Linked DNA regions of Lonchura striata. The protein of the gene in region 2 interacts with the protein of the main gene of each other region in a biochemical or structural test. Links are inferred from orthologs where the notes say so. Each region holds a gene or a part of one and is shown on either strand. Other genes may lie near its edges.

The links.
Region 1: the proteins of CYSLTR2 (region 2) and DLG3 interact in a test that uses a peptide from one of them, tested with the Homo sapiens proteins (2 studies listed by IntAct, with this or other methods). The link is inferred for Lonchura striata from reciprocal best matches to the Homo sapiens genes CYSLTR2 and DLG3.

What each region holds. Positions count from the first base shown.
Region 1 is NC_134616.1:19,278,181-19,288,240, reverse strand, and holds the start of DLG3 (disks large homolog 3), read left to right. Parts: upstream 1-5,401; 5' UTR 5,402-5,477; coding exon 5,478-5,493; intron 5,494-7,480; coding exon 7,481-7,612; intron 7,613-10,060. Other genes in the region: glycerophosphoinositol inositolphosphodiesterase GDPD2, read left to right, coding at 168-250, 755-905, 1,436-1,651, 2,530-2,681, 3,023-3,170, 3,396-3,478, 3,917-3,945, 4,249-4,301. UniProt on the Homo sapiens protein: Required for learning most likely through its role in synaptic plasticity following NMDA receptor signaling.
Region 2 is NC_134604.1:62,134,321-62,143,202, forward strand, and holds CYSLTR2 (cysteinyl leukotriene receptor 2), read left to right. Parts: upstream 1-5,603; 5' UTR 5,604-5,659; coding exon 5,660-6,604; 3' UTR 6,605-6,702; downstream 6,703-8,882. UniProt on the Homo sapiens protein: Receptor for cysteinyl leukotrienes. The response is mediated via a G-protein that activates a phosphatidylinositol-calcium second messenger system.

The DNA.
Region 1 (10,060 bases), on a different chromosome or scaffold from region 2:
GGCTGTCTATCCCCAGTCCTTTTCCACCCCCCACCACGTCCAGGTCACACCAGGCTCATTGTGGTTGCCCTAGAACCAGGCCAAGCTGCTGGTGCATCCAGGCAGGATGAGTGCCCCCTGCCCCATCCTGCCCACGCTCTCTGCACTAACACCATTCCTTTTTCCAGCTGGCTCCTGAGAACACCCTCATGTCACTGCACAAGGCAGTGGACTGTGATGTGCAAGTCTTTGAGACAGACGTCATGGTGAGGTAAAGGGGCTCAGAGGGAGGAAGGGGATCTGTGTCTCTTGGGATGTCACCTCCCACAGGGGGCATTCTGGAAGACACCTGGAGGACTGATAGAGCCTGCATTTGGAGACAGCCCTGTTCAAAGGGCTCTGCCACTCCCACCTTCCCAGTATGGACAGCTTGGTGTCCCAGTGATCTGGGAGAGGTACTGGGTTTCTGTCCTCCCCATGCAGATTGCCTTTTGGGAAGGGAGGCTCCATTCAGGGAAGGGGTACTGCTTGGAAAACAGACCCTGGCTCCAGTTCATCTCATGTAATCCTGTTATTTGAACAGGTGTTTCCGAGAGCAAGGAAATACTTGGTTGGTGGCTTGATCTTTAGGTGCACATTTTTGTGTAAAGGGCCACAAGCAGAATAAGGATGAGGGTTACTCTGGCAGGTGGCTGGGAGGGGGTAGAAATGCTAAGGCAGGGATAGGAGACAAACAACTTACAACATATGGCTTTCCTCTGTGTTCTTTTGCCAGTGCTGATGGGGTCCCATTCCTCATGCATGACGAGGAACTCACCAGGACCACCAATGTGCAGGCTGTGTTTCCTGAGAGGGCTGCCCTGAACAGCACTGCCTTCAACTGGACAGACCTCCAGCGGCTAGATGCTGGCAGCTGGTTTCTGGAGGTCAGGAATGTCCTTAGGGTGGTTGGTTTTTTGGGTGAAGCATTAGCCCTGCCCTGGGACTCCAGCATCTTTCCTGGTCCTAGCAGACACATGGACAGGGTCCAGAAGCCTGCACAAATCCCTTGGGTGCAGTTATGCCCCAAGCTGCAGTTTGTTCTGACTCCTCAGCTGAGTCATGGAGGAGGCTGCTTTGAGAGGGGATGTCTCATATTTGCTCTGAGCACAACCTGCCTGGGCTTGAAGGCAGCTGTGGCCAGACTCTTCCCAAAAGATGACTAACTACTGCTGAGCAGCTTTGAATGCCCACAGGTGTTGGGGCTGCTTGAATTCTGCTGTTAGTGGGGAGAAGGGTGCAGGTCCATGGATGTGCTTAGGGAGGTTCTCTGTGCCCGTCTGCACTGGAGAGCAAGTGGAGAGGCCAGTGTTGGAAACTGAGAATCAGAGACTGGGAGTCCCCCAGGCACCAGTTTGGGATGTGGAAGCTGACAGGTGGTCTGCCTGCGATGACTGCCCCCATCTCACCCTTGCAGCGGAGGCCATTTCCCACTGTGCAGAGTCTTTCTCCTGGAGATCGCAAGGAGGCAGCTGAACAGAGGATCCCATCCCTGGAACAGGCTCTAGAGGCAGCCAAGCAGAGCAACATCTCCATCATGTTTGACCTTCGGCCTGAGAACCACAGTGACTACCAGAACTTTGTCAATGTCACCCTAGGAGTGATTTTACAGTCAGGCATCCCGCTGCAGCAGGTGAGCTGGTCACCACCCCACCCCTGCCAGGCCTTGCTGTCACACCCCTGCTGTGGTGGGAGGTGCCCTGCCAGCCACACTGACCATCCCTGACACCCCATACACCCTGTCCCCATACGTGATCCCTGCTGGGCAGCCCTGCCCAGGTGTGGGGTTTTCTAGCTGGGAGAAGTTGCCAATAATTAGGGTTTAATGCCTATGGCTTCAGACCCCTCAAAATACTTCAGACCCCTCCAAATACTTTGGTTTCCCAGCACTGGCCAGCCTGGTGTGTAAGCAATGACTCAGGCGAGGGAGGAGACCAGCACTGCCAGCATGAGCAGGAATACAATGCTGAAGCTTTCACCTCCCCACACTCCACCACACCTCTCCCTGCAGCTCTTGGACTCCTGCTGAACTCTCCTGTGTTCCTTTATGCTTCATCCAACCCCTGCAGCACAGGATATCTGCTGCCTCAGGGGACAAATCAGCACTCAAATCACGTTTCTTGGCCTTTTGGGAATGCAGAGCAGGAGGAGACATAAAAATGACTACTTATATAGTGGTGATCCAAGGTGCATTCTTGCTGCAGAGCTGGGGATAAATGAATTCACTTCTTGAGCCATTCAAGGACCCAAAGAGGACTTAACTGTTGCAGATTTCCTAAGCTAGAATTGCTTTCCCCCTTCAGTGGGACCTCTGCTTACTTCCTGGCTGGGGCAAGCTCTTAGGAGACTGTCCTGGCTGAGATCCTCATGGAAGAGCTGAGTGTGGAGACCGGGGGCAGGAAGCAGCTGTCTAAGCAGGCCATGTGGGCCTGGACCTGTGAGGGAATATTGGAAGAGAGCCCACTCTCTGGAGCAGCTCTCCTCTGCACATGCTCTCTGGCTCTCGCCTAGGTCCTCTGGCTTCCAGATGGGTTCAGGGAAGATGTCAAACAGCAGGCCCCAGGTGTCCAGCATGTCTACGGTCGGAAGAGGTCTGAGAATGAGAAGGAGGCAGTACTGCGCATCAATCTTCCCTACCAGGACATGAGCTCTGAGGAGATCAGGTGAAAACGCTTTGTCCAAGTGCCTGGGAGCTGTGAGGGTCTCAGGACTGTCCCAGGGGGCAGCAGAGGTGAGGGTACTGAGTACTGGTGTGCTTCTGGGAACAGCTGGGAGTGTGCCTTGTGAACAAGTGTCCCTATCAGCCAGGGCTGTCGCAGAGGATGCAGCTGGCTGCAGTCCTCAGACCCTGCCAGCAAATCTGCCCTCAGTCTGGATCTCCAGATAGTTGTTCCATGTGGCTGCAAATGCTGGATCATATCCCAAATGTACAGCCCCCTCTGGCTGTGCAGAGTGTGGTGGTGCCCTGCTGTCTGCTATTCTGATCACGGCTGTCCCCATGCAGGCAGTACCGCCAGGAGAACATCTCTGTCAACTTATATGTGGTGAACCAGCCCTGGCTCTTCTCCGTGCTTTGGTGTTCAGGGGTGAGCTCTGTCACCACCAACGCCTGCCAGGTGCTGAAGGAGATGAAACACCCCATCTGGCTTCTGGTAAGTGACCCCTCCATCCTTCACCCTGCCCACAGCCCTGTGTCCTAGACACTTGTGGGTCCCTTTCTGCAGCAGCCCTGTGCAGCTGCCTGGAGGGTGACTTCTGCTCACTGCTGGCATGGGAGCATGCGACCCTGTAGAAGGAACTGGTGGCACAGCAGGCAGGGCTGTGCCACAGCACAGCACCCCAGCTGGCGTTCAGTGGCTCGTCTCATTGCCTTGCAGCCCAGCAGCACGTACTTCATGATCTGGATCGTTGTAGACTGCGTTTCCTTCCTTATCATCATCTGGGCTTTTTTCTTGATGAAGTAGGTCTGATCCCTTTCCCCTCTTGAGGCAGGTCTGTTGGGGGAGGTTGCAGTGTGCCCTGGGTGGCTGATGCAGACCCAAAACTGCTGCCACTCCTCTCTGGATTCAGATACTGGGGGTGTCCTCTTGTGTCTGGCTAAGTAAAACAGAAGAGTGTGGGGGTAGCTTTTATCTCCAAGCTGCAGCTAAAAGTCTGCCCTGACCCTGCCTCAGGTTGCTGGATGCCTTAGTTCACACTTGCTAGCCCACTCTGCACCCCAGGGCTTGGTGGGTTGAAGCTGGGAGATCCTGGTCCTGCTCCTTTTTTCCAGTGCTGCAGGCACTGAGAGCAGTTCCCTCTGGGACTGAGGGGCCTCACAGCCTCCAGCTGGCAGCTCAGGGGAGGGAATGGTGAGACCAGACTTGCATGCTAACATCGATCCTATTCCGTCTCCTAGGAAATGTTCCCACAGAAGACGGCCAGCGGGTGAGTGCACACGGAAGGGGAGCTTCCCTCCCTTGGAGCCAGGCTCTGCCTGTGGGACTCTCCCTGACAGGCAGGCAGCTTTCTCCAGCCAAACGTGATGGAATGGTTTGGCATGGCTGGGGGAGGGAAGGGAATCCCAGCTCAGGGAGTTTCTCCTGTCCTGCCATTAACAAGTAGCCCTGTGGGACAGCACTAGGGAATCCCACATTTCCCGAATATCCTCAAACCTGCTTTTTAGGCTACTTTGCCTGTCGATGTGGGATGGTGGCTGCCCACAATGACTGTTTTTTTCTGTCTCCTCAGAGTCTGAGACAGATGTGCTGCTCACAAAGATCAACAGCTTGATGCAAGAGTAACGCCTGTGTCAGCTGTGGGGAAAGGCAGCCAGAGCCCTGCACAGCTCAAGCGGGGAGCACTCCTCAGGCCACTGCAAGGCTCCTTTCCTTCGAGCCTCACTTCTACCGTGGTGTTCGTGGTTCCTTTCATGGTGCACAGCCGCCCTCATCTGAAAAGACTTGGAACTGAGTTTTCATTGCCAAGCTAGCAGCAAGGAACTAAAGCTTTGCAGGGGTGGCCTAGGGGAAGAATATTTATCCAGCAGTACTGGAGCTGAGACCTCTCCCATGAGGTTTGGACAGGAGCGGGGATTTGGGTCACTCTTTGGTGGAGGGGAAGGGCTGTCTCTGCCTGTTGTCAGCAGCTCTGCAGCCAGGGATGAGACACCTGGCTTAAGGACTGTTCCCCTAGGGGCTGCCCTATCCCATGGCTTGAGGAATAGAAAGGGAATAGGGTGGATGTGGATGTGTAGTGGCTTTTCAAAAGACAAAGGGAATGCCGAGCTCTTCACCCTCTCATCCTGGACATAAAATCCTTTCCCTACTGCTGCTGCCTTCATCTTCACAGGACAGGGTCCTGGCACTCCATGCAGCAGTTAATGCCTGTTGCTCGGGAAACAAAAGGATCGGGGCTGGGGGTGGTGGGTGTCAGGAGCTGGCAGGACCGTGCTCACGCTCCTGCTGCTGCTCACGTTGCAGCAGGGCCTTGAGCAGGGAGATGGGTATCGTATCGGTTTGACTTGCTGCTGTCTATTTATGTCAATAAAGCAGAGGAGCGGCAGACCGATCCTGAAGGGGTGCGGCGGGCACGCCTGCGTCCTCCCTTCCGCACCTTTCCCTGCCGGCGGCGCTGCCGGCCCGGAGAAGGAGCCGGCGCAGCCCGGACGGTACCGGCCCGAGGCGGGCTCGCTCCGCGGCGCCTCCGTGCCACCTACTGCCGGCGGGGAGCCGGGCGGGCGGCCGGGCCCTCCGCAGCGGGCAGGGAGGCGAGGCGGAGCCGGGCGCGGCTCGCGGGGCGCAGGCTGAGCCCGCCCGCAGCCCGGCGGGCTCCGAGCGGAGCCGCGGGGCAGGGCGGCGGTGGCGGGGCGCTCCCGGAGGCGGTGCCTGCGGCCGGGGGGCGGCTCCCGGGCGGGGCGCGGCGGCTCGGCCGCTCGCGGGCTGGCACGGAGCGGAGCGGCCGTCGGCCACGGCGGAGCGATGATCCGCCGGGAAGGTAAGGAACGCACTCCCCGGCCCTGCCCGCCGCGCCGGGGCACCGCGGCCCCGCGCTCAACAAGTGTCTGCCCCGCTGGGACCGCGCCCGCTGCTCCGCGCTCCTGCCTGGCAGCTCCCGCCCTCGCTCCGCACCACGGGCGGCCGTGCGACCCGGGAGTTAAGATCCGACGACTGGGCGCTCTCGCTCCACGCCCTCCTCGGCCTGTGGACACGTTGTGCTGCCGTGTCTCAGAGTGGGTGGCCGCGAGATGCTCTGCTTGCAGATCCCTTGCGTGCTGCGGGGAGGAGAGCGGCCATGGGGGTTTAGGTTCTGCGAGAAGGGATTTTCTGTACGTGGGACTTGCGTGCACCTTGAGGCACGTGGACATGGGCCCTGGACACCGTGTGCTATTTCTTGGGAGCTGTAGGAACGGTCCTGCGGTCTCCCTGCCACGCTGGGTGCGCAGCACTTCCCCAGATCGGGAGCCCGCAGTCCCCTGCTCCGGCTGGCTGTCACCGGGTGCGGGTGGCCAGCAGCACAGAGGTCAGCGCGGTGCCTGCCACTCTTGCTGCACAGTGGAAAGTTTACCAGGTTCGCAGTCTTTGTGTCCTGGTGTGGTGGCCCCCAGCTCTCCATCTGCTTCTTTAGTTCTGCTGATAAGGTCAGGAATGACCAGGCAGTGATATCTCAGCCCTGCTCATGGTATGCTAGGCAGTGTTTGAAGCCACTGTTTCACCATGCAGAAAAGGAAGCTCTTAGTAATAGCACAAGTCTAGGATTGCCGTAAAGCCATCAAGGAAGTCCATGCTTTTCCTGGAGTAAGTGTGGAGCCCAGCTCCAAGTCAGAGCTGTTCATGCTTCCCCAGACTCCTTTCCCTGGTTCAGGTCCCACGATGAGTCAGTGTGGGCTGGTGACACCAGCAGTAGGACCCCCTTTTCTTTTCAGCCGAGGAGAAGCTAGAAGGCTGGGTGAGTTGGGATACCGGGTGGAACATACCCAAGCAGACACAGGCCCCCTTGTTTGATGACCTGAATTCTCAAGAGCCCTCTAATGAGCAGGGTCATCCTTTCTGCATGAGTTCCTGGCTTCAAAGATGAGTCTCCAGCAGTGGCGGGACAGCTTCCCTGCCTTCTCACACAGACACTCTTTGTCTGCAGTCTGCCTGGGTGACAAAGTGAATTAAGTAATCACTGATGGGACAGGGATAGTCTGAAGGTCCACAGGAGCTCACTACCTGCCTGAGGTATGGGTCACATCTGAGGTCGAGGCTGCACTGGCTGTCTGCCCAGAGAAGTGTGGAGGTGTCCAGGTGGGGAGATCACAGCTGCACTATTTTAGGTCCAGGGTTTTCTGATAGCTGTCATTAACCAAAATGTTGCTTCATGGCAGCTTCCAGTTCTCCTCCTCACCAGCATCTCCTCTGACCGCAAGGCATTGTATTCCTTTCCCATTTGTCTCCTGCTGACCCACAGCTGCTTTCTGCTTTGAGCAATTCTTATGCTTCACCCTGTAGAAACCCAAGTTTTGCCACTCCTGTAGCTGAGCTGTTTGCACTGTGAATGGGCCTATGCTCAGTTTTGCTGCAGCCATCTGGCCCTGTGTGGGAGGCTGCAGTTCCTGCAGTAGTATTCATAGCCCTGTGCAACCAGAATGTGTCCAGCTCCTGAACAGATTCCTTGTCTGGGAGGTGGCAGAGGTGTTCAGGCTGCCCAGTGTCACAAGGTTCAGAGTTGAGTCAATCTGATTTTAGCCCCTGATTTTCAGGGTTGGTGGCAGAACTAACTTTTCCTTCAGTCCCTGCTCAGGTCTCTGCAGGCAGCCCTCAATGGCTCTCAGCAGGGTTAGCTTTCCCAGGTGTGTGTAAGGAAGTCTGCTTTTGTGGCTGTCGGACTTCTAAAAATCCAGACTGGAAGGCAGCTTGAGGCATAATCCCAGGCTGCACTCAAGCCTTCCCTTAGCATCCTGCAATGTTAATGCCTTGTTACTCCTGTGTCATCTCTGCAGACACTGAACGGGCAGTGGAAATTCTGACCAGATACCAAAGCACCCTGCAGTCCCCGGAGGAGCAGGAGTTAAAAGCTTCCATTGGAAAAGTTTCGCACATCTTCCAAAGTGAACTCTTCCAGGCTCTGCTGGGTAAGCCCCTGCCTTGCAGTCCCTTGCAGTCCTTGCAACCTTGTGTTTAGTGGGGTTTCCCGGGAGCCTGATCCCATGCCGGTGCCTGGCACTGACCAGTGCATTCTGTGGAAACACATGGCGTGTAATGCCAGGGAGCTGGGCTGTCTTTCCCCTCCAGGGCTTAGGCAGGAGATACCAGGGCTGTGATCACTGGGTGTTTGTAGAGAACAGCATTCCTCAGTCTGATTGAGGGCAAGGGGTAACACCTTCTTGATCAGGCCATGCCTGATCTATCCAGCACCTGCTAAGGGATCCTGCCCTGCTGCAAGCACTCTCCCTGCAGTGCAGCCCAGGTGTGTCCAGGAAGGAAAACGAAATTTTTCTGTCTTTAAGAGAGAACCCACAGGTACCCAAGCTCTTTTGGGGAATTCTGTCCTTTCTTGTGTTTAGACCCACCAACACTTACGAGAAACACACTGTTCCAGCAGTTCCATTTCACACAAGACTTAAGAGCAAGGCTTATCTTGGGGCTGGACACCAGAAAATGGCATTTTGAGCACTGTATAAAGTTCTCCATGAGGACTGAGACTAATGCAGCTGAAGTCTTTCAGGACTACGCAGCTTCTCTGTGCAAGACACACAGCTATCTTGCTATTCTTAAGTTCTGTTCACTGTGGGCCGTGGGAAACATGCAGCCTTGGTGGTTTCTGTTCCTGGATCTCCTGGGAAAGAAGCTGAGTTTCCCTGGTGGGAAGGGAAAGCATCCCAGAGGCTCTGCACTCTTAGAAGAAGACCCAGGCCCCAAGGTGCAGAGCTCCACATGTGGTCTGTGGCTCACTCTCAGTGCATTTTGACCCAAGGCTGTCCCAGCCCTGGTGCTTCCCCTTGCTGCTCTCTTGAGGCTCTTACCTTTTCTTCACACCTCTGCAGCCTGAGTTCCACTTCTGTGCCTGCAGAGGTGAGTTGCCAGCAGCTCCTCTGTGCTTCAGGCTTTCCATTGAGGATGAAGTTGAATGCTGTGTCCTGAGCAATTTTATTCTGTCCTTTTTTTCTCTTTTGCTGCTGGAGCATCATCTGGAGACCTTCAGTTCCCAACATGTCCTTTTAAAGTCTTTGTGCTGGAATGTCTATACCAGCAGCAGCACAGGCATGTGCCAAGGGTGGACTCCCTGGAGCAGGTAGGCCCCCATACTGAAGGAGCCAGTGTACATCTCCTTTCTTATCTCTTAATTTATACAATCCACTCTCTAAATTATCTCCAGCCGGAGGCAGGGATCCCAAGCAGGGCTGTGACCTTGACCAACCTGACATTAGCCCAACACCCCTGGCTGCTTTTGTGTGCTGGCCAGTCCTCCCTGGGGCTATGTGAAGGCAGTGAGACAGCTTTCCCAAAGCCCAGGGCTGTTGCTGTTAGTGCAGAAGTGCTGTGGTGAGACTGTGGCTGCAGAGAACACAAGCTGGCTGCAGCTGCACACCGGCAGGCAGATGCTGCAGCGTCCCCAGCTCCCTGCTCTCAGCCACTTGTCTTGGTGTCCTATCAGCCCTGGCACGAAGGAGTGTTGGGAGTGCCGCTTGTTTACTGGTGACCTCTTCAACTGGTTTAACAGGATATTAATTCCCTGTGCCAGAGCGAGCCTTTCTCTAGATGTGTTTACCTAAACTAGGAATTTGCACTAATTATTTCCGCCCCCCCCCCCCCCCTTGACTGCCTCCCCCTGCTTCCCCTTGGAGTGTAGGTTTGTGAATGTCTCTGTCCCAGCATGGACATTGTCTGGCTGTGTGCTCGCTGTGGCTGCACACAGCTGGCACACACTGGGCTGCTTTGTGTCCACGGTCTGTACCCACTGGAGCACAGTAACAGCACTGCAAGGGTGATAGAACGTTTCTATTTTCATTTTTATTTTCACCCCTCCTTTTCCCAGTGGGCCTCTGTGTCTCTGTCTGAAGTCTGCTCCGAGTCACAGGGCTGGCTCAGTGTGGAAGGAGGATTTGCAGGAGAGCACACACACTGCTTAGTGTAGAACTCCCATCTCACTGCCACACACCATGCCAGAAGCTTCTGGCTCTGAAGAGGCCTTAGCCTGCAGAGTCCCTCCTTTTGCAGCCTTTCAGCAACACAGCCCTGTTTTTTTCTGCCTCTGGGAAAGGTGAATGTGTGAGCATGGTCCATCCCTGTCCTCAGGCCACCTGCTCCTGCAGGTGATGCCGTCCTAGAGCACACAGTCTGATTGGAGTTAGAACATCAAAATACATCAGGCCATAGTAGAGCTACCAGCGGTGCCAAATGTCATGGAGCTTGCCAAGTTAATCCACGTGAAAAATGCCAGGGATATGACTTTCTCTATGCTTTTTTTTTTTAAAGAAGAAGCTGGTTTGGGGTCTCCAGAAGCCCCAACCTCTGTTATGTCCAGGACATGTCAGTGTTTTGCTGGATGGATCAGTCACTGTGATCATGCCCAGTGTTGC
Region 2 (8,882 bases):
AGAATCATAGAATGGTTTGAGTGGGAAGGGATTTTAGAGATCATCTCATTTGAAGCCTCCTGCCATGGGTAGGGACACCTTCCACTAGACCAGCTTGCTTAAATCCCATCCAACTTGGCCTTGAACTCTGCCAGGGATTCCATTCCCCTTTGTCCTATTGCCACATGCCCTTGTGAAAAATCTCTCTGAAACTCTGGTGTAGGGCCCCTTCATGTACTGGAACATGCTTTAAGTTCTCTCTGGGGTCTTCTCTTCTCCAGGATGAACAGCCCCATCTCTCTCATCCTGTCTTCACAGAAGATGTGCTCCAGCCCTCTAGCCATTTGCATGGTTCTGCCCTGGGCCATCTCCATGATGTTCTTATGTCAAGGTTTCAGAGCTGAATGCAGTGCTCAGGTGGGGTCTCACAAGAGTGAAGTAGAGAAGAAAATCTGCCTTGGCTAGATATATATATATATATATATATGTGTGTGTATATATATATGTGTGTGTGTGTGTGTGTGTGTATATATATGTATATATATATCAAACGACCACTGGGTCTCCTTCATCCATTGTCATCACAGCCCTGCAGTGGGTAAGCCAAACAGGATCTCCCTTTTCAGAAAACATAATGACTTTTTCTCAGCAGACTGGCATTGCAATGAGCTCAGTGCCTTCATTCTTCATTACAGATGCCCCCAAAATGTCCCAGAGGCGGAAATCGGTCCTAGTGGTCAGTAGCTCCTAGGACTGATGACGAGCTTTGAGCAGCCTTATCAAGCCTTTCTGGTAAATGAGAGCTGCACTGATGACACATCAGTCCCCTGGCACAGTGCCTGATTGCAATGGTGGGTTACGTGCCTTGGCTGGCAGTCTCACAGTTGAGATCCTTTGGGATACTGATATGAGTGCCATCTGGTCTCAATTACTTTTTGGACTCTCACTTATCTAGTTGGTTTAATACTTCCTGCCCACATCTCTTGAGTGGAGCTGGCTCCTCTGTTCTTTTTACTGCACCAGCCCTGAAAATATCCCAACATCGTTGGTTGGGAAGAGTGAATTCCCTGAGTATTCCTGCTATGACTTAGTTTCTAAGAGATCTTTTGCCACCAAACTCCCCTGCTAGTTCCCAAGTGTTTTTTTCATCTTTCAGTAGGTTTACAAAACTTACTGTCAACACAGAACATCCTTTACCAGAAGCCCTTCACTATTTTTTTTTCTTTAATGCTCCTTGTTTCCTCTCCACATTTGATCTGTCATGATGCAGACTTTCCTGTTCTCCCCATATTGACAAGACTTCTGTTTTCCAAATGGAGATCTTTTCCTTTGAGTAGTCTTGGTAACTATTTTACTGATAGACATTTGACTCAATATTTCCTAAAATGCCTATTTCTTTTGGAATGTAGGCTTGTTGAATTTCCTGTTTGTTTTCACAGCCCCCAAATTTATGTAGGCTTCTTCCTTCTGGGACTGCTTCTCTGTCCCACGGTGCTGCTGAGCCCAGCTGTACTGTGATTAACAGTACAGACCTACCTCCACCAAAACCTGTGCAGCACTAAAGATCAGATGGCATCTTGTAGAGGTAGAATACCAAGGTAGAATGTCATCTTGTGTTGTGGATTTTTATTTTCAGGTCTAATTATTCTAGGAATCAGGAAGTCATTGCTTATGGACATAACATCTCATCCTGTTGCAGCATTGCATCTTTATAACAACGCTCCAAACCTCCTTCCATTGCTACCTGCTTTCTATCTTCTTACCCTTACTTAATGTGCTCTGGCAACTGTCATAAGGTAGTAAGGAGCTCGGTAGTGCATTCCTAGTAGCATATTTGTATTATTAGAATCTGCCTACAAGAACACTGTTGTGCTTCCCTTTAGCCACAATATTTTTACAGTGTTGTGAGTTATGTAGTCCCTCCTGCACAGTGCCACTCCTCCACCTGAGCATCCTACAGCATCATTACCATAAAGCTGGTAGCATGGCAACACAAGCTTCTATTGATTATCCTTTCTCCTGCAGGTCTCTGAGCTTTCCTTTGCACCAGGGTTTTGGTCTCATGCCAAGCCTGATGGATGCTCTGTCTCTTTTTCAGGTTTGAGATCAGTGCAGAATTACATGTGAGATTTGTTTTTGATCAGATGTTCAAGATAGCATGTTCCAGTCTATTGGATTTGTGGGTAGTTGGATCCTGGGCTTAAAATATGAGAGGTTTGAGGCATTTTTATTAGTTTAGTATATCCTTCAATTAAATAAATCTCCTCTTACTTTTGCTCTATCAGCCCCCCACCCGTCTTGCACACTCATCCATTTGTTAAGGATGTAAAATTCGCCTTAGGTGAGGAATGTCTTTCTGCTATCATCTTACCTAGAATTGCACTAAGATAAAAGGAAAAATATATATTCATAACAAATATGTTTAATTTATAATATAGATGTGTTTGTAATGAAAGATAAATATTTCTTTATAAAATCCTTGCTAATCAAGATGTAAATATTTTTAAAAGATTTCACAGAGATGAAGAAAAGATAAAAAACCCACCCAAACTCTACATCTAATCTACTCATGCAGCAGTTATTTCAGAAAAGGCTCCCTTTTTCTTTCTCAGCTGATTTTCTCTTTCTCATGCCAGGGAGATTGTCAGAGCCTCAGGACATGTGTCAGCTGCTTCCATTTGATAGCTTCCATCAGTGAAACTCATATATAGAAAAAATCTCCTGTTACAAAATTTTCTATAAGAGGAGTCTTGCAGTATCACTGAAGAGAGAATCCCATTTCAGTTTGTCTTTTTCTCTCCTTTTTTTTTTTTTTTTTTTTTTTTTTGAGGGCTGTTAGATCTTACTGCAAATTTCCCTTCTTTTGGGAGACACAGAAAATTCCTATAGGTCCAGTCTCTCACTCTTAACCCATCATGTTCATTCATGACCCAGGAGACCATCTGGACACTTTTTCTGAAAATGAAGTTTATGGTCTGTCCTCAGATAGATCATTCATTCTGTATATCAAGTAGCCATCTCCTAACCTTTGCTGGATAATAACAGTTCTTGGATTCAAGGAAGGATAAAATTCTCCCCTTATCCTCTGTGGTTGGTTGAGGTAGTCCCAAGTGAAATATATCTTTCACTTCACCTTCCCTTCCACATTGATCTGTGTGTCAAGACATAGCTAACAGGAGCATCTACAATGAAAAGTGCATGGGTCATTGTTGGCCCTGTACTGAGTGCAGGAACCATGGTGCTTTAGGAGCTTTCAGTTGACTGGTCTACAATTTCTTTCTCTTGGACATCCCATAACAGCTTGAAATTTAGGTGTTGGAATAACTTCGAGAGGAGTCTGAGGACTGATTTTCTTGCTAGGGTGAAGGATGCTGAATTTTCTCAATTGCACATGCACTATTCTACTCTTAGTCTTGGTCTAGCTGGAAAGAGAATTGAGGAACATTTGTGCAGTTAGAGTTAAAAACATCTTAAATGGCAGTTGTTGGCTAGATACCCTCAATATGAGGAGCCTTAGCTAAGTGCCTCAGGCCCTGTGCGTGTAGTGCTCTTCCCAGGATGCAGGGACCCAAGGGCTTTTCATCAACTGAATATTCATTGTCCCAGTCTCATCCTTCATCAGACAGCACTGGACACAAGCAATCACTCATACTACTGTGCAGGGTGTGAAATTTGTCCACAGTCCAAGTTCTTCAACCTCATTTGACTCCTCTACCTCACGGCTTTCACACACAAGAATGCTTTGACAGGTAGCAGATCCCTTTACTAATATTTCTTTTGTGTTTGGGGTTTCTAAAGGCAAGGATGCTTGGACCACAGGAAAACAGAATCAGAAGGGCTCTTCCCTTCACTGAACCTCAGGCTGTAATGTTTCCCTGAAAAATGGGGGGATCATACTCATTTTGGAGAAAAGCTGGTCTTTGATTTCATACAGAAAGTGTGTATATCAGACAGTTATTCCATAAAGAAAACCAAAACAATTAAATTTTGATTTAATTAGAATCCTTTGATTGTTAAAGATTTGTCTTGAAGAAGAATATATTTTCCATCTTCTTCGTGAAGAAAGAGGATCGCAAATGAGGAGGAGATGAACTTTAGGAACATGTGTTTAGTCAGTCCAGGGCTTTGCTGAGACCCAATATCCATGAAGTACTCTTTGGGAGCCCAGCCTGGGGTTGTGCTTCCCATGCTCCCCATCCCAGTGGGGCTGGATAGAAAGAAGCCTGCTGGGGCACATCTGTTTGCTATATTCAAGAGACTGGGACAGACTCTGAGACACAGCCCTGGAGATACAATGGCCTGCTCTGAACATAGCTCAGGCTTCCACATCATGGCTTCAGTTTGCAAATTAACTCCCATTTACAGCACACTGGGTAGCTGGGTGTTTGAAGTACCCAAATGTAAAGCCAAATTTACCCCTAAGGAGGCTTCACCTGTACAAATAAATTAGTTTCAAATTGTGAAGCTAGTGAGGTTCAGAATAAGAGATAGGATGCAGTTGTGTGCCATGGGCACATTATCACTCTCACTGGGGCAAATTAAAAGCTTCTTTTCCATGCATCTGAAAATGCCATGTAGTTGTGGTTTTCAGGCTAAAAATTTCCATGCCCCATCTTTAGAATATATTGGTATAATAAAGAGGGAATTGCTCCCACTGTCCAACAAGAAACAATACTGACACCTTCCTTTGAAAATACTACTAGCTGCAGGACAGCTGAGATAAAAAATCAAGAGTTCAGAAAATACACATTAATGACAGAAAAATATTATTATTTAGAGTGTATTAGTGGTGGGCAGTTTTGATTTTATTTGATTGAGTCATAGTCTCACAGAGGAAAAATGCCTCTCTCTGTGAGCACGGCCCATTTTCTCAGAGGCTATTTTCATTAGGGCTGCAAATGTAGGCTGCCCTGGAAGCTGCAGTGTGTGTGGATGACTGGTGCAGAAAGGCTGAGCACAAAAAAGGTTAAGAGAGTGGTACGTGGAGCAAAGGCTCCAAGAAAAGAGACATAGAAAGCCACCAGAAGCTAACAAGAAGAAATACACTGCATGGAGGAGGAAGTTAAAAAATGAATTGTGCATAATTAGCACAGTGTTTGCAAAGTGTTTAAGGTCAAAATGTCCTTAATTTTTACATGTATCAAAATACATGTGGTATTGCTCAGGAAATACTACCAAAAACATACCAGAAAAAATTTCCTGGTTCCAAAAGGCAGATTCAGTTCTTTTGGTTTCATTCCTTATTTGAAATGCAGGCCTAGCAGTTGACAGTGATTTCTTTTCTGATCAGGTTTTGATGTTTCCATGGTAGGTGACTAGGGACTCAAAACTTCCCTGCCACAAAATGGCTGACAGCAAGCTGGCTTGTTTTGCACAGCAAAGATCAGAGACTTGTCATTAAAACACACACACAGAACGTCTAAAAGCAGCACTTTTACAGGCTGAGAACAGAACCAGCTGCTGTAGTACTGAAACTCATTAGAGCTTACTTGGGGCTTTGTGTCTTGAGATGTGTATTTACTGGGACATCACAAGTAATTACTCATTAACGAGCCCTTACTTCCCACTGTCATCTGCATCTTGCAATTTCTGCCTTCAGTAAAACAGTCCCAAATAGCCAAACTCCCTGCCCAGCCTATAACCCAGCATTCACACCACTTCTTTTCCTTTTAGCAGAAAAATGGAGACGCTGGCTCGGACTATGAACATTTCCAAGGTGGCAGTAGATGGCAGCTTCACTAACAGCTCTTCCAACTGTACAATTGACGGTTTCAAACAAGTAATTTATCCCATCGTGTATCTCTTTATCTTCTTCCCGGGTGCTGTTGGAAACAGCCTCTCCATTTATGTTTTCTTCCAGACTTCGCAAAGGACCTCAGTAAACATTTACATGCAGAACTTGGCTATTTCAGACCTCATGTTTGTGAGCACTTTGCCCTTTCGGGCCTCATATTTCCTCTTGGGATCACGTTGGGTATTTGGTGACATCCTCTGCAGGATCATGACTTACACCTTGTACATGAATATGTACTGCAGCATTTATTTCCTCGCCGTGCTCAGCGTGGTTCGTTTTGTAGCCATCGTCCACCCATTCAAACACGGACAAGTGACCAACACGAAGTATGCCAGGATTACCTGTGCAGCCATATGGATCTTTGTGCTGGCAGCTGCCAGCCCTCTGTTAAACAAGGGAATCGCTGGCTACAGCAACCCAGTCAAATGCTTGGACCTCCACCCCCCCAGCACACACAGGCTCCTCATGATGAACAGCTTTGTCCTGGTCGTGGGCTTCATTCTGCCGTTCTGCACAATTTTGTTCTGCTATGTCTTTGCCATCAGAGCGCTGCTCAAGTCCAGGGCTCAGCGGAGCAGGAGGGCAATCTGTCACAGGAAGGCACTGTTAACCATTGTCATCACTCTCATCCTCTCCCTCATCTGTTTCCTGCCATACCATATCCTGCGCACTGTCCACCTGCTGTACAGCACCTGCAGCCAGGCCAGCCTGCACAAGGCGCTGGTGGTCACTCTCTGCCTCGCTGCCATGAACAGCTGCCTCGACCCTTTCCTCTATTACTTTGCTGCTGAAAATTTCAAAGCAAAAATCAGAAGTTTGTGCTGCAGATAGCTGGTGCAGAATTGCAAAACAATATACAGTCCTGATGGGATTTCTAGACTGGGCTCATACTATTCAATGACAGAAGCTGTGTGAGTGCTGCTGGCCAGCCTGCAGCTCTGCTGCTCACTCACTGTCAGGCATCTCTGAAGCAGAAGTCTCTGGGACAGAGGTCCTTATGGGTGACAAAACTGAGTCCAGATGATCTGAGGACAGGTGGCTGGGTATGATCCTTGGTTGACTTCTGTTTAGCAGTGTAGAGATACCTCTGTTGTTCACTCTCCCCAGGACAAGGCATTGAAAGGAATCCACCTTGCTACTGGAGTCCCATTATTTCATTTCACAATACTGAGCGACTTGAAAGGAACACTGCTCACCCGACCACTTCAGTGTCTGTGCCTGAACCTCTGAGCACTCCATTTCCCTGCATGTGCAGGGGTTCAGAGACTGTGATTACCTACACATTCACAGTACCCTGCCAGTTCTCCTTGCAAATACTGTCAAAGGGGTTGCACATTATAGAAATACAAAAGATCACTGATGCTTTCTACTGAGGCTGACTTAAAAAGCAGGAAGAGAGGCAAACAGGATCCATCACTGGCTCAGACTGCTCAGAAGTCGCTAACATTTCTAAATTTTCCACTCTGAGCCAGCCACCAAGGTATTCTGCTTAACATTTCATGGGTTGTCAAGGGAGAGAATGATTTCAAGCAAGTGGCATCGTCCTGGATTGTTGTGAGTAAGATGCCTGCTGGCAGTGTGGGCAGGACATGGGTGCCCAGAGCATTGGGCTGCATCCTGCAGCTCTTCATGTGGTGTCAGTTCCTTCAAGGTCATTGTAACACTTCTTTTTCATGCCCAGTGTTGCCAGTGCTTTTCACAAAGCTGAGGCTAAGCAGTTCCATTCCCATGCAGGGATCCAAAGACAAACTTTAAAAATTATTTTGGTCCAAAAAGGTTGTTAGGGAGTGGTTTCCTCTGCACAGGTAAATCAGTCTGACACCAAACAGCTGCCAAAGGCATTCCCAATTGTTCATCTTCAGTCTCATCTGAGGAGGAGAATGATCCCTTTTTTCATAGGATTAACTTCCTATTGGTTTGAATTTCCTACATCAAACATGAAAGAATGCAACAGGGAAGCACTAACCCAGGTACAGGAAGAAAGATGGGCAACAGAGACAGTGGAGGAGAGCTTTTTTAGAAAGCAATGGGAATCTACTCCTGTGGGTACTTTGGAAAATTTCATCAAATGGCTGTATATTTGTAAGTCTCTGAATATTTTCTAAAATATGCTTTCTAAAAATTAGACCTAAGAGAATACAGGCTCCAGACTCAGGCCATATTTAGATTTTGGGTTTAATTACATCATCTTTTACTAAAAACAGACAAGAAATTTAATCATATTTTCCAAGAAAGCAACTGGGCTTATATGAAAACTAACAAAAATGCTGAACGCCTTCCCTCACTGTGAAATTCAAACAAAGAAAGGTTTCTTTCTGTGAATATACTTCTCAATGCTCTGAACTTTGTATGGAGAAAGAACTCCATAAACTGAATGTTATTTCTCCCAAACAAAAATAACAGCAGCAAGCTATTTTTAGCTCTGAAATATGCAGAATACAAATCATTGCTGGTCAGGTGGAAAAGTACTTGGCAAATCACTGTAAAAGGCACATTTTTTTCTTGGCTATCTAAAGGTTATATTCAATCTGTTTCAGTCACTTGATGCTGCCTTTGATGCAAGTACAGAGTTTTATCAGAAGTCTTCACTAAAGATCATTCTTCAAATCCTTATTTCAATAATGCAGCAGCATACCGGAGAGCTGACCTAATGATGCCACGTGAACTCCTTGATCCCATGCTGTCGATGAAAAAGGGAATAATAGCAGTGGTTTGAAATGGGAATATGATTGAGATGGTAACAGTGCAGATATAGCAGTAACGTAATTGGAAGGAAGAGTGAAACTCTTCTTCTGTGGTTTTCACCAAGGAGGAAACCTCAACAGTTACGAGTGACAAGTGAAGCCTCTCATGAGACACCGTCCACTTCAAATACTGCAAGAGAATGCAGAAAATTAGCCACTGTCTAATCTCACCCACATGCTTCTGTCTGTATCTGCCCAGTGCACCAATCAGATAATTCTGCATTTAGAAGATATATGTATTTCACTTATGAAGTCACTTTTTTTTGTATTGACCATGCTACCACTTTGTAGGCAATTGAATTAACTGTCAGAACTGTGTTTTAATAAACTAGATTTACCTGTGGCTGAAGAAACGTTTTTTATTG